Linked DNA regions of Drosophila melanogaster. The protein of the gene in region 2 purifies or fractionates together with the protein of the main gene of each other region. This does not show direct contact. Each region holds a gene or a part of one and is shown on either strand. Other genes may lie near its edges.

Region 1 (5,029 bases), on a different chromosome or scaffold from region 2:
AGCAAGTTGTGCTCGGGTTTGCCCACCAGGACTGCTCTGCTCTGCCTGCCTGCTTATTTATTTGTTTTCATTTTCATTTCCCGGCTGGCTGCCAGGCACAGTATAAGCCCTGAAATACCACACGCAGGCAAATCCGAAGCCAAATCCATAGTCAAGGGTTTCCTGTGCATCCTCCTGCTACATCTGCTCCACCAGCTCCTCCTTCCCCTTCGGCCTGGTTAAGCATAAGTTGACGACGTGCCTGCCGCAGGACCCTCTCCTTCCGCCGCCTTGTGTATATGGATTCTTTGCTGGCCCGACGACTATTTTTAGTGCCACTGATTTGTTTTGCCTAGTATTTGAGACCCTCCGTCGTCACTTGTGGTTTTGGCTTGGCACTTGTACCCGGCCAAAACGGAAGGGAAAAATAAAGACCGTTCCCGGCAGACAGAGCCCCTAACTTATGGACGCCCGTGGCGCTGAAACCGAAACCGAAAACCCCAAGTCCAATACCAATCCCAGGCCCAAGCCCAAGACACTCCGATCCCTTATGCGGTTTTCGCCAGAATTAAGGATTAGAAAGTCTGCCAAGCGGGATGACTTACCTTGACGAAGTGATAGAAGAGCACGGCTCCCACGGTGGCCAGAGCGAACCAGACGAACACGGCGAAGGTCGAGATGCTCGAGATGTCCAGGGCGTGGAGCAGGTGCGATGTGACAATGGCCGCCGCCTGGCAGAACAGGAAGGGCATGAATAGTCGCTCGAATATGTCCCAGGGAATCTCGTGCGACTTCTGCGGCAGTGCCGATATGGATCCTCGTCGCAAGGAGGCGCGTCGCGAGGCACGGCGCTAAAGGATAAAAGATATATAGATACATAGATAGATATTAATCACGGTGGTATATATGCCAATTTAATTATTCATTTCATTGCAGCGCATTTAGCATTTCAGTTTTCAGCTCTATAAATAGCCAGACAAAATAGCTGCGCCTTGTTTGTTTGGGAAATATTTAAACAATTGTGGCAGCTCTCGTTTGTTTGTGTTTTGATCAATAAATAAGGTGAATATGCAAATTATTGCACGCACTCATTGTTTTTATTTCCATAGCGGAAAATCAAAGATATCCGATTGGAAATATTCCCAGAATTGCATTGAGTGCTTTCTTCTGCTTGACAGGTGTCCTGAGTTTACCGGAATTGTCGGGGAAGCTGTGAAGTTTTATTTGGATTAGTCGGGAATTCGCTGGAAAACTCTGAGCGGCAATCTGTTGCCCGCCAATCGAGAAAAGCTGATGAAAATCTTTTGCCATTTGCAATCCATACAATTTATTGACTCAGGACTTCCGATTTGGTGCTCGTTGAAATCGATAATACTTCTGCTCAATGTTCGAATTCAATGGCTGATGAAATGGTCGAGCACATATTTGCCCAACAATATATCATCGGGCATTTCATTAAAGCTAACCAATTGCAGCCACAGGATCCGGAAACGACCACAAGCACTTACACCAACATATACATATGCTTGCATTTATCAGACGCTAACCCACACATTGACATTGACGTATAGCAATTACACATGACGTGCACAATACTCTCGAAAAAGTGTGGGAAAGCCACTGGAAAATCGGTCGGTTGTGTGTGTGGGAAAAATGGCTGGCAAGAGGGCACCCTTGGCAGCCCCTTTTGGCCATTGGCCATAAATCAACGACAGTGCGAAATAATCAAATGGTGGCATCTGCATAAATACAGAAGCCAATTGATTTATTCGGCCTGAAAATAAAGCAATTCCATTTCGGTTGCTTCGACTATTTTTCCTTCGCCGGATTTGTAAAATCGCCGGATCTATTTATACCTCCTAGTGCTGTCTGGAATATTAAAAGGAAATCGACCATGTCATTTCGGATTGCTTTCGTCATCCGGCGACCTTGCCACCAATTTTGGGACTTAGTTTGCCACAGATACGTGAGTATTATATGTGACTAATGCCGCCATTCTGTAAGTGGCCTACATATGGGCGACAATTTCGATCCGATCTATGTATGTACATATACATATATGCACTTGCTGCCGGTTCAGATATATCTATATTTATGTGTATTTATGTACGATTTATGTACTTAATGGGGTCGCTCAGCTGCCAAGAAATCGGTATATGTCTCCAAGCTTATTTTTATTATTAATAAAGATATGGATATTTATTTTTAGATGATGCGGCCGAATCAAATGGAATGGAAAGTTCTGGCATTGCAAAAATACTCGCACTGTATTTTCATGATGAAAATGTATTTGATGTGTATTTCGTTTGGAAAAAATCCAATCCCTTGTGGAATGTTCATAATCGTTTGCCTCAATGTCAAGACTTTTATTGTGCAAATCTGATTATAATGTAGTCATTATAACATTACTACATCCATTTAAGTTGCACTTAAAATCCCAGGCAGGCGGTAGAATTTTGACAAGTCTCTGGCGGAACACTTAAATTTTACATCTAGCATTTTGCATCTAGCATTTTGCATCTTTCAATTTCTAGTGGCTCGCACGTACGTTGACCCACTTGGATCGTGGCCATTAAGTGAATTTTTGTAATTAATTTGGCGGCCCGTTCTGAACACCGCATGACTTCCTGCCTTTCTGCTCCTTCGTTGCCGCCAAAGGATATCCTTTTCTTCTGCGGCCAAAATGGGCGTGGTTATGCCAGACTGGAGTTTGTGTATTGGCATTTCTGGGTTAAGCTAACTGGGCTAAGTGTGCCATAAGGTATACACAAACGTGGCGACAATAAATTTGGCCTGCGTAAACATGGCCACAAATGGCTTTTTTGCCGCAGGCTAGATTTCACTTACCATATTGTTATCGAAGACCTGCATGACGGATGCTGATGATGGTGTAGATGGTCGATGGTAATGTTCGGATTTTCACGCACTTTCCCAATGAAGTGGGCAATTCTCGTAGTCTTAGACTATAATATATCCGGTGCTAGAGTTTTAGATTTTTTTTTGTATTGTATATATTTTCAAGATCGATTTTCCGCAGCGGTACGGTTTGGGGGCCCGTGGCCTGGGCGCTCTGAGACACGGCGTGGCACTAAGCGGTACGATCGAGTGGCGCTGCCTGCAGCTGCCGAAAATTTTCGCTCGCCGATCGACGATCTCTGCCGCTGCCGCTGGCGACGTCGACGTCGACGTTCAAGTTCTGTTGTATTTCAAAATGATGCAAGCAGCAAATTGTCGTTTTGATTTTTTAAAAATATATCTGAAGTATGTGCAGACATGCGTATGTGGGATACATATACACACGCTGGCACGCCTATTCAGAATAATAAATATATTTAAATATTTGTTGCTCTTGGCGCTGCCCCACTGAAGCCGCAGCATCGATGATTATTTTTCCACAGCGGAAAAACAGCAGAAAAAAAACTCCGAGTGTGCAGATACATTTGTTGAAATATTCTTTTTGGCTCATTTGAATATTGCTTCAAAATGACCCTAGTTTTGAATACACAGTTTATGCGCATAATTAGTATGTGTGCAAACGCCAAAAGTTGCATTCTTAACCCCACAACGAATAGATTTCTGTTGTATGTTTCACTGTGACGTCATTGTCACTGTTGTTTACAATTGCGTTGTTGTTAATTTGCAAATTGCATTTTCATATACATTTTTGGTTTTTTATTTTTTTAAATTCCCAGCTCTTTGCTGCATTTTGTATGCTTTCATTTCGGTTTTATTTGTGGGCCGATGTTGGGAAAATTGGAAAATTGCATAAATAAACCATGACCCTCTGGGTCAGAGGGGGTTGGGGGGGATCAGGAAAATGCGGGCCACGTGTGGGCAGCTGAAGGTAAAAAATCATTCAGCTTCAGCCACGAGAAATGGAGAAATAAAATGCAATAAATGACCATTTGCAATCTCGCAATCCCGCAACCAATAAAATCAAGCAAATAAAAGAGTGTTGCAATCATGTTTACGCTCCAAAATAAGAATTTAAATGATTCCAATTAAAAATGCACAAATTATATAAGAAGACTATGTTTGCTCTTAAAATCAGTTCAATTAGATGTCCTTCAAACACTATTAAGAGACTTGAAAATAATAGGGTTTGCGATTTCATTCTTCATTTTTTTATGAAAACAATCCATTGATTTGGTATTGGTATCTTCTTCCAGCTTATGATAAATATCAGCGTATTTTGTGATAAACCTACATTCAATGGAATCCGTAAAGAATATCTGATAGTCGTCGAAATGCTCTCATCGTATAATTTACTTGCTTTAAATACTCGATTTTTATGTTTTCTCCCATTGTTTATGCATGTTTTTGTGTCCAACAATATATTATTGTTATGCATAGAATTTGTTGAGTAGCTTTTCTGCATGAATATAGACAGTGCCATAAATTGACGTCTATATTGGAGCTTTGCATATATACAAAACAAAAATCTATATATAATGAACAAAATTGTGGCTACCCAGCCAATGGAAGCATTTTCCCCTGCATCTATACAATATCGTTTTTTGTAATTTTTTCAAAGGCGGCTGCGTTGTCAGTCAATGTAGCCAAATTAACAAACGAACAGCGATTCTTTTCGTATGCGTGCCACCAAAAGTTGTTGACTCTTTCGGATTGTCATGCATTTTAAAAATAGGCGCAGCAAAAATATTCTGGACATCGTTGCGCACTTTGAAATGTACGAAAGAAGATTTATGGTTCACAGTACTTTTGTACCAGAGAATCATAAGTGAACCAAAAAGCAATCAATCAAAGCAATTATGAATTCTAGGATTGTCAACATTCGAAATAAAAATGGGTTTTGGTTATTAACAAAATCACTTCGAAATTGTGAAAGTAATCTAAAAAAAAAACCACAATGCCACCAAAGAAGCCGGCAAAAAAGAAAAAGGACGTGGACTGGTCCTCCGATGAGCATTTCTCCAAGGATCGTTCCATGATCTACATCGAGCACACGTACGAGTGTCCCATTTTCCAGACCAAGGCCGACGAGTGCGGAACATTCTTCACGCAACGGATACCGGAGCGCAAGTTCCAG
Region 2 (4,249 bases):
TGAGCCCATAACTTGCGAAAAATGAAAATCACAAGTGGAGCAGCGAACAGGACTTCCAAAAACATTTCTACGTTTATATTATATTCCGGTCAGAGGTTCCAATACCTCTCAGATTAAGCTCCGATCTATAAATGACGAATACTGATTAGAACTCAGTGATCGGAACAATTGAGTTCTGTAAAATCAATAGGTACTTAGTATAAAACATGTTCCCTTGCGGCATGCAATTGATGGGTATATTAAATTGCAAATACTGCACTGTTTTTAGAAAGTCTTGTGTAACAAAATTTTTTGAAATTTACGATATTTATGTATATTGGCTTTTGATTTTTTTTACGTAAGCTTTAATTTGTATATAAAGCTATAAAGCTGTATAAAGTAGTCGGTAGTTTCACTATTACAAACATGCAAATTGATCACAATGTATCCTCTCCATAAAAAAGCAACCAGCAATTTATTTAAACGTTACCGATTGTGATGAACGTGTTAATTAAATTAATTACATGTTAGGATATCTTTAGTTCAATCATTTCATCGTTTAATCATAAATCGTTATATTTTACATGACAGATAATAAGACAAGCGATCAATCGTTTTAGAGTTTCAATCGTTTTACTGGTTTATTTGTTTCTCTAAACAAATTACAAATAAAAGCTCTTTGGCAAACCGTTTTCCATAAACTTACACTAGGAAATATTCCTCATTTTACCCTTTTCGATAGCTTCACTTTGATATTCTCTTGTGTGCGCAGCACGATTCCGTTCTCAAAAGTGAGATCCTCCAACTGGGTGGCGGGCAGGAGTTTAAAGTTCCTAATCACAGCGGCCAGGAGCACCTTCATCTCCAGAATGGCAAACTTCTGACCAATGCAATTCCTCTGGCCTGCACTAAAAGGCACATATGCAAAAGGATGACGATTCACTGTGTTCTCCGGTAGAAATCTGTCTGGCTGGAACAGATCTGGTTTCGGGAAATGTCGCGGATCTCTCATTATGTCGTATATGTGGATGCTGATCTGGGTGTCCTTTGGCATCACCATTCCATTCACCACAGTCTCCTCCACGCATTGGCGCCCAATAAATGGCACTGATGGAAACATTCTCAGCGATTCCTTTATCACACATTCCAAGTAGACTAGTTTGTTGAACTGAAACATACTGATGTCATCGCTGTCCTCGGGAAGATTTTCCACCTCCTCATAGCACTTCTTCTGGACATCCTCGTGGAGAGCCAGCATCAATAGGGTAAATATTAGACAGGTGGACGTAGTATCGTAACCCTCGAACATAAAGGTATTGACCTCATCGCAGATACCCTGATGATCGATCTGACCATCTGCTTCGGCTGCTAACAGGGTATCCAACATGGCGTATCGCTGCTTCCTGCCAAATTCATCGACTTCTCCAAGTTGTTTCTGCTGGAATTGCTGCCTTTTTCGTTCGATAATGCGACTGGAGAAGTCGTGAACTATTCGAAGATTCTGCAAATGCTTTCTATAGTCTCCGTAAACGAAGAAATACCAGTTGTAGTACATCAGCGGATTGCACACGCGTTGAATTAGAACTTCCTCGATGGCATGGATGGCCTTTCTATATTCGTTGCCCTCCGACATGTCATCCAGCTTCACACCCAGAGCAGTTTCTATAAAGGGTATGGTTTAGTTTAAATGTTCTTAAATATTATCACTTCATTCAGCTCACCGCATATATTATTCAAAGTAAATGGCGGAATAACCTGGTTAAGCTCCAGTTCTGCATCTAAATTTTTCTCTAAAACGTTAAGGAACTTCTTGCACTCTTCCCTAAAATAAACTTATATTTGAGCGAATTCAATAGTTAATTAATAGTTCAAACTTACTTGAAAATACCCAGGAATGACTGCAGGACATTGAAGTGAAAGGCGGGCGTTAAAGCCTTTCGTCTGGAATGCCATTTGTGATCTTGAAATCATTGATTAATTAGTAATTATAATAATGCAGTACAAATTGATTGAATCACCCGTGCTTATCAGGAGTCCGTCTCCCAGAAATGGTCTAATCAGTTCGTAAACCACGTTCTTCGTTATCAGCTTGGTGCTCTGGAATACCTCCTCAGCTTCCTCGGGTCGAACCACATTATACATGGGTGCATATAGAAAATACCACAGATAATTCTGACCCTTGGCCTTGGCCGTGGACTCGCGCACAAAATTAAAAACACTAGCTGTAATAAAACTTGAAAAGTAGTTATAAACCTATAATCGCATTGAGTAACAAAACGAACCCGGCGTAAAGTTCAAGATATCCAAGTTGTTGCCAAATCGCGTTTTTCCCGGCATTATGGCCACTTTGCTTTCCAATGGACTGCCATCCTCGGTTCGCACACGCTTCGTTAATGAAAGTATAAAGTAGGTTTTGTTAATGTGTTTTAGAAGAAGCGTTAGGACCGCCAACAAAATCGGGATCCCCAGCAGAGCGATCCACATTTTGTCGCAAAATTCTCCGATCGGTCCGTTCTGCAGGCAATTTCACTACACACTAAGCTTTGGCATATCATCAAGCCTCTGTAATCATAATCAATTGTATGTACTATACTGTTTAAAACAATAACAATCTCAAAACAGCTTTCTGTTATCAGGAAGCCAATTATATGGTTGGATTATATCAATTATTGTGGTTGAGTGCTGTTGAGTTCTATTCTTTTTTATACTCGACTTTGCAATTTTTTAATTTTGGATTGTCTATAATGATGACTCCATTTTGAAGCATTCCAACATTTTAAGTATTATATCACTGATGCTATGGCCGGCTTTAAATGGTCAGTCATATTTTTATGATTATCTTGAAGCTTAATTTAATCGCTTAATGGTGAATACTAAAGCGTTCGGTTGTGTCAACAAAAACAGTCTAAAACCAAATAATTGGTTAACTCATTTAAAAGTAAAAATTATTTATTCCAGCACGCAAAGCTTTTAGACTGTCAGAAATTGAACTAATTGCTTTTTAATGCATATAAGCTATAATGTCATGCTATTGATTTCAAAGCGATATGGTTTTATTTTTGTTGGCAGTAGAGCTGGCTAATTATTAGTGCCTATAAGTATACATAGGAAATGTTAAGGTAATGAGATTAAAATAAAAAAATTATGGTATTCTCCATTCAACAGCTGCCTACTATCAAAAGGCATAATAATTAATTGAAGCACTTGACAGATATTGAAATTGTTAGCGAAGCATTTGAAATAGTTCAAACTGGCTTACGATCGTTTTTTTTTTTTGTTTGCCCATATGACCATTCCAGATTAATAACAATTTCTTGGCAAATTTCCTCCCAGGCCAAGCGGCATATTTTCCCATCGTTCCAACTATGGAACTGGCTGCAGAAAAAAAGAGAAAAACTAGCAATGTCGCATCAAAATGCCGCATTGATTAAAGTTTGATTAGCTGCAGCTTGGCCAGATCGCATTTGGGCTTGAGGAATTAATTTGAGCCAAGTTTGTAATGCGCGCGCAGAAATGGCAATGCCACAGTTGCAGTTGCTGCCGTTGCAATCTGGCCAATTGCAGCCTTTGCTGCAATAGAAGTAAATGTGGAAAAAAATTAAATCACAGTAATTACATTTTCTGTGGAAATGGCCGGAGCCGGAGATGAACGCGCAAACATGCTGCACGACCAGTGCGTGGACCTGGATGACAAAAATAGTCAATGCAGCAGGAGTTGCAGCAGCAACTGCAGCAGTTGCGATCAGCAACGGTCACAGCAGCAATCACAAACTGCATTTGGGCATGAAAAGTGCTGTGCCGGCACAATTGGATGGAAAAACTGGCCCTGTCTCTCCGTTTCTTGTTGTTATGAACAAATGTTATTGCGGCGGCAACATGCTGCATGTGTTGCTGCTGCCACAGGAGCAACATCAACTGCCGCTGCTGCTGCTGCTGCTGCTGTTGCTGCTCATTAAGATGCAAAAGACGTCGCTTGCCGCCTTTTTAGAATTACTAATTGAATCGACGCGATCAGTGGCAATTGCAGCGGCGGCATTGGCCACAAAAACCAAAAACCAACAGTGAACAACAACCATTGCGGTGGCGGCTTGAATGTTTGTTTGTTAGTTTGTTTGTTGTTTCAACCGCTGCTGCGCTGAATGTTGCTGCCGCTACTGTTGCAGCTTCCGTTGCGGCATGAGTACACAAACATACGGTCATACGCCTGCGTATTTATTTATTTATGTACGTGATTCGCAGCGTGGTTTTGCGATTCTCTCAGCGCAATTCG
Region 3 (4,954 bases), on a different chromosome or scaffold from region 2:
TCGACCACAGCACCCACCTTCGATCCTATATCGTCATAGGCACAGACATTACGTATGTATAACTCACGCAGCTATGCTTAACTAAATTATATACCATGCATATAATAGCTGAACGCTGATCGGCAATGAGACGATAATTCAAACGGAGATGATCTACATATGTACGTTAAGTTTATGGTAAAAAGTCGATTCAAAAATGTTGAAACATACACACACAAAAAAAAAATTAAATTAGCATTAAGTTTGCAATGGATGAAAGCAGTGTAAAAATCATCAGCAAAACGCTAAAACGCAAAAACGATAAACATTTTATGTGGTGAAGTCTGAAAATGATTTAATCAAGTTACCAAGTAAATCTAGTTAAAAACAAAACACGAATCAACGCGGATTGAAATGATTAAAAAAAAAAAAAAAATGATTTAAAAACGAGAGCAAGGCGAAAAGTTGCGTTGTATAATTTTGTAATGTAAAAATAACTTGTATAAGCAAATCCTTGTTTTGTTTTTATTTAAATTACCTATGTACGTTTATTTAGATTTAAAGTAATTAAACGAAAGAAGCGGAAAATACAGAAAACATTAAAACACTCTTATTGTAAGCGAAAACACACAGAAACATTGCTTCTCCTCCGGCCCTGTTGTGGGTAAATCCCATCCAGAGCTCTGCAACCGGGTAAGTGCAAGCTACCAATCCTCTCTTGGCTTTCAGCTCTGAACCTCAGAGGCTCAGTTGAAAATCAAATCGTTGTAGTTGCGGAGCAGGTGATAGGGAGACACACGGCAGCAGGTGGTGGTGCGCACCACGGTGATGCGATCGGCACGCTCAAAGTTGGCCTTGACCGTCTCATAGTAGCGACCATCGCTGGAAGCGAAATATTGATGTTAATCCCGCATAGAAATAGGAGTCTGATGTAGACCCACCTGAGCACCATGCAGCGCAGCTTGAGGCACTTGACGCGCAGAATATCGATGGCCTTCTGGCTCTTGTCGGAGAAGCGCAGGTTGTCCGGATCCCAGCGCAGCTCCAGCCGCTCCAAGTTGCCGCAATTCGAGGCGATGGTGTCCATCAGCTGGTCCACGTGGATGTTGACGCCCAGCTTCTCTGCGGTGCCCATAACAATGATCCTGCAGGTTAAGAAAGTTCAGCTCATAATAAAATGTCTTTTCATTCGATGACCAATAGTGTCGCCTACTTGCAGTTGCCCAGCAGGGGCAGGATGCTCATCCACAGCTGGTCGGTGATGTGGGGCATGCCCGAGAGACAGCAGGCGCTCAGCTGATGACCCTGGCGCTGTATAAACTTAAGCAGGCCCTCATCCGAGATGTTGTCCGAGGAGTCCAAGTCCAGGGAAATGAGCGACCTAAATCATACTGCTATCGGAGTGCTTACACAGACGGGTAGGTACTGTCTCCGCTCACCTGGTGGTGCCCGATTCCATCCACTGCTTGAGAACGCTGTCGTTGAAGCCATTGATCTGGCCGGCTGAGAGGAACTTGAGGCTGGGGATCCTGCTCAGCATGTCCACGAGGCATTCGGTCGAAAGATCGGTGGCCGTGATGTCCAGCTCCTGCAGGGCGCACTTGTCCCACTCGGCCTGCATGACGAACTCCGACTTCAGGCTGGTGCCGTTCATGAGCAGGCAGGTGAGGCGCTTGGAACGCTGGATCAGGGTCTTCAGGGTGGAGCCGGTCACTTTGTTGCAGAAGTTGACGGCCAGGCACTCCAGCTGGATGCAGTTCGAGCTGAAGGCGTCGATGTGCGAGTCATCGATGAAGTTGATGCCGTACAGGTTGATCACACGCAAATTGGGCGTGGCCGACTTGAGCTTGTGCACGTTGATCACCTCGTAGATCTCCTCCTCCTCCTCCTCGCACTTCTCGTACGTGCCAATTAGATGCAGCACCTCCAGGCCGTTGATGAAGTTGTAGATTTTGCGCATGAAGCCCTCCATGAAGATCACCTCCGAGAGGCAGACGCACATGTAGCGCAGCTTGGTGGGAAAGGCCTGCATCTCGCTGAAGTCGTGCAGCTGCATGGCTAAGAAGTACACAGGACACTCTAGAGTTTAAGACGGACGATCGGCGACGTGGCGCACCCACCTGTGGAGAAGTCCAGCAGCATGTGGGTCAAATTGGGGCACTTGGCGGACAGTTCGTGGAGCACCGTGTGCGTGATCAGCTCGATGGGCAGCTCGATGTAGCGCAGAGTCGGTCCGAATCTCACCGAGATCAGCTGCAGCAGCATCTCCAGCGAGCCCACGTGCAGTCCGGAGACCTCCGGTCGCAGGCTCACGTTCTTCCACAGCCGCGTGTCGTATGCAATCTGCCGCCATCGTCGGCAAATCCTGGCCAGGCGGCAGATCTCGCGGTGCGACAGATACGAGAAGATGTGCAGCAGCACCTTGTCCGGCAGCTTCTCAATGGTCTGTGGATGAGAGTCACGATATATAGTGGTATATCCTATGGTACTACATAAGTGATTCAAATATGATCTCTAAATGTAAATCTAAACGACAGTTCGGAATAGTTGAGTGCGAATGTGGTGCTATATATTCTACGGGTGAGTGAATCTATAGATACTCTCTCTTACGCCACAGACTGGCTCTCCCAAATGAGTGGGATCCCTAAGTAATATCCCAAACCCATCGTACCGTATCGGCGAAGGGACTGCGAACTGTGCCGTCGGAGAGGTAGACCTGCGATGCCTCCACGGCCAGCTGACCCCAGATATCGGTGGATATATCCATGGCTGGGTGTGGATGATTCGGAACCACTTGCTTATATAAAAAAAAAATATAGCTACACACGGGGCAAACTACGCGTGCTCTGCCTGCGAGGCGAGAATATCCGTCGTATCGAGCTACTTTCGCGCTACTGCGAGCCGCATTCCCATCGACGTGCCATCGGAATCTCCAAAGATCCGCCAGGCAGTAGTAGACTCAAGAGAACCCTAGGCTTATTTATAGACCAGCGCCAGTAACGAGAGCACTGCCACATCGCATCACTCAATCACTCTACTTTCGGATGCATCAGCTGTGCTGTTCACGGGCGACGCACCACACCACTCACGCACTCTTTAAGAACAAATAGAACCACTAGAACCACCAGCACCACTCACCCAGCGGTGCACGTGGAGAAACATGCTGATAAAATCCCTGCCAAATCTCTTCCTTTCCTCGTCAGATTCAAAATCATTAGTAAGCTGTATAAAAGTATCTCGAGATATTTTACTATATTTTACTTATATCTAAAAGTATCTGATATTGCTGATAGTATCTACCTTTTGTAGGTTCGGATAACCTATGGATTCATCTTAAGATATTTCTACTTCTTAGATACTTTAAGATGCATCTGAAAATGCTTCTGTTTCCCGAGGAATAACCTTCTGAGCTTTATCCTTTAGCGCCTACTTTAAGATACATTTCCGCACAGCCTGCTTTTGCATATATATATTTAATAGTAATAATAGATTTCGAACCCCTTTTACTTTCTCAGTGCACAATGTTTGTTGCCAAGAATTCTATATATACGCCATCGTTCGTCTGTCTGGCTTTGTTTTGTTTACTACATCTAATATGTATATCTATCTGCACATGTGTATGTTCTATGTACAGGGTACTCACCAGTCGGGTCTTCACCACGCCAGAGTCGTGGAGTCCGATGGCCTGCGAGGAGGTTTGCGCTGCCAAAACATTCCAATTATCCATGGTGGGCACTGCGCTCTAGTTCGCGATTTGGATTGGGATCAGCCGGAAAGCTGAAGGTGTTCGCTGTCTCAGCTGTACAATATGTATGTATGTATGGTCTTGCTGGATCCGTCCGCTTCTATCTATGTATCTATGTATCTATGTATCTAACTAAGGGAGGAGATGTGCCGGCTATACTCGCATGAGATACATTCATTCATGAGCTAAACTATTTCTGCAAGGCTTTCCCAATTAGTCACACTGAATTCTGAGCATTTCAAACTAATTGTTATTTAGAAATTATTAGTTTACAAGCAGCTAAGCTAATTAAATTACCACATTTTGAAGCAAATTAATAGGAAATCTATATTCAGTAGTCTATTAGTTCTGGAAAGTATAAGTATATTAAGTAAGCAAGCGAAAGCAGTTAGTTAAAACTTCGTTTTTACTATGTTATTTACCCATTTGATTAGTTGATCAAACGAAATTGTTAGACACTTTCCGCAAATAAACGAGTGCGAGAAGGAAAGCTTTTAATTAATTAATTAATTGATGCCCGCAGGCGATTAAAATAGCAAATTCACAATTATGCAAACTCAGTGAACACACACACATTGTTCACTTGCGACTTTTGATTTTCGACGAGGATGGGCGTCACATCTGAATTTGTTTCATCCTTCGCCCGGTTTATTAATAGTTTTCCCTCAGCTGGTGGATCTGGTGGAAAAAACTGTTGGGGTTGCAAGTGCAACGTGGAAAGTGCAGTTTCGTAACTTTAGCACTTTCGTTGCAAGTTGAAAAAAAAAACTAGGGAAATTCACTTGGCAAATTCACTTATTCTGTTGCAAATTACTGGCAAATCGGATTGATAAATTCCGGCGAAAATCGACGGATTCTGCGGCTTTACATGGGCGAATGCTCCGCGTTCTCGACGGCTCCACAACTCTGAGAAAACTGAGAAAATCAGGCGTCCGCGGAAAATGGTTTATGCCAAAATTCACTCGGCTAGTTGATCGTACTACATGCGGAGTACATGGCTACATGGGCATCTGGGGATCTGTGGATCTGTGGATATGGAGGGGTTATTCGGGGCGATCTCTGCGAGTGCAGGCGTCATTTGCTTTTCCCATGGCGAGCGGCCAACAGAGGGGCGGTTGCCCAGGGGGCGTGGTCGATCGTTGGGAAACAGATATTACAAATGCTAGAAACTACAAAAAATCACTTCTTATGATTTGAGCACTGGATTTTATTCAAAAATTAGCCCATATC

Evidence for each region.
Region 1: the proteins of Cyp4ac1 (region 2) and CG8888 purify together in Drosophila melanogaster (affinity purification with mass spectrometry, with the first as the bait; one large-scale study listed by BioGRID). This does not show direct contact.
Region 3: the proteins of Cyp4ac1 (region 2) and FipoQ purify together in Drosophila melanogaster (affinity purification with mass spectrometry, with the first as the bait; one large-scale study listed by BioGRID). This does not show direct contact.

What each region holds. Positions count from the first base shown.
Region 1 is NT_033778.4:12,076,469-12,081,497, forward strand, and holds the start of CG8888 (uncharacterized protein), read right to left. Parts: upstream 3,076-5,029; 5' UTR 2,851-3,075; coding exon 2,827-2,850; intron 831-2,826; coding exon 585-830; intron 1-584. Other genes in the region: CG13186 (uncharacterized protein), read left to right, coding at 4,850-5,029.
Region 2 is NT_033779.5:5,262,248-5,266,496, reverse strand, and holds Cyp4ac1 (cytochrome P450 4ac1), read right to left. Parts: upstream 2,497-4,249; 5' UTR 2,464-2,496; coding exon 2,262-2,463; intron 2,202-2,261; coding exon 1,998-2,201; intron 1,940-1,997; coding exon 1,858-1,939; intron 1,802-1,857; coding exon 1,701-1,801; intron 1,642-1,700; coding exon 701-1,641; 3' UTR 598-700; downstream 1-597. Other genes in the region: Cyp4ac2 (cytochrome P450 4ac2), read right to left, coding at 1-65. UniProt on the Drosophila melanogaster protein: May be involved in the metabolism of insect hormones and in the breakdown of synthetic insecticides.
Region 3 is NT_033777.3:29,494,470-29,499,423, reverse strand, and holds FipoQ (F-box involved in polyQ pathogenesis), read right to left. Parts: upstream 2,884-4,954; 5' UTR 2,747-2,883; coding exon 2,651-2,746; intron 2,425-2,650; coding exon 2,100-2,424; intron 2,038-2,099; coding exon 1,419-2,037; intron 1,361-1,418; coding exon 1,193-1,360; intron 1,125-1,192; coding exon 921-1,124; intron 862-920; coding exon 726-861; 3' UTR 501-725; downstream 1-500.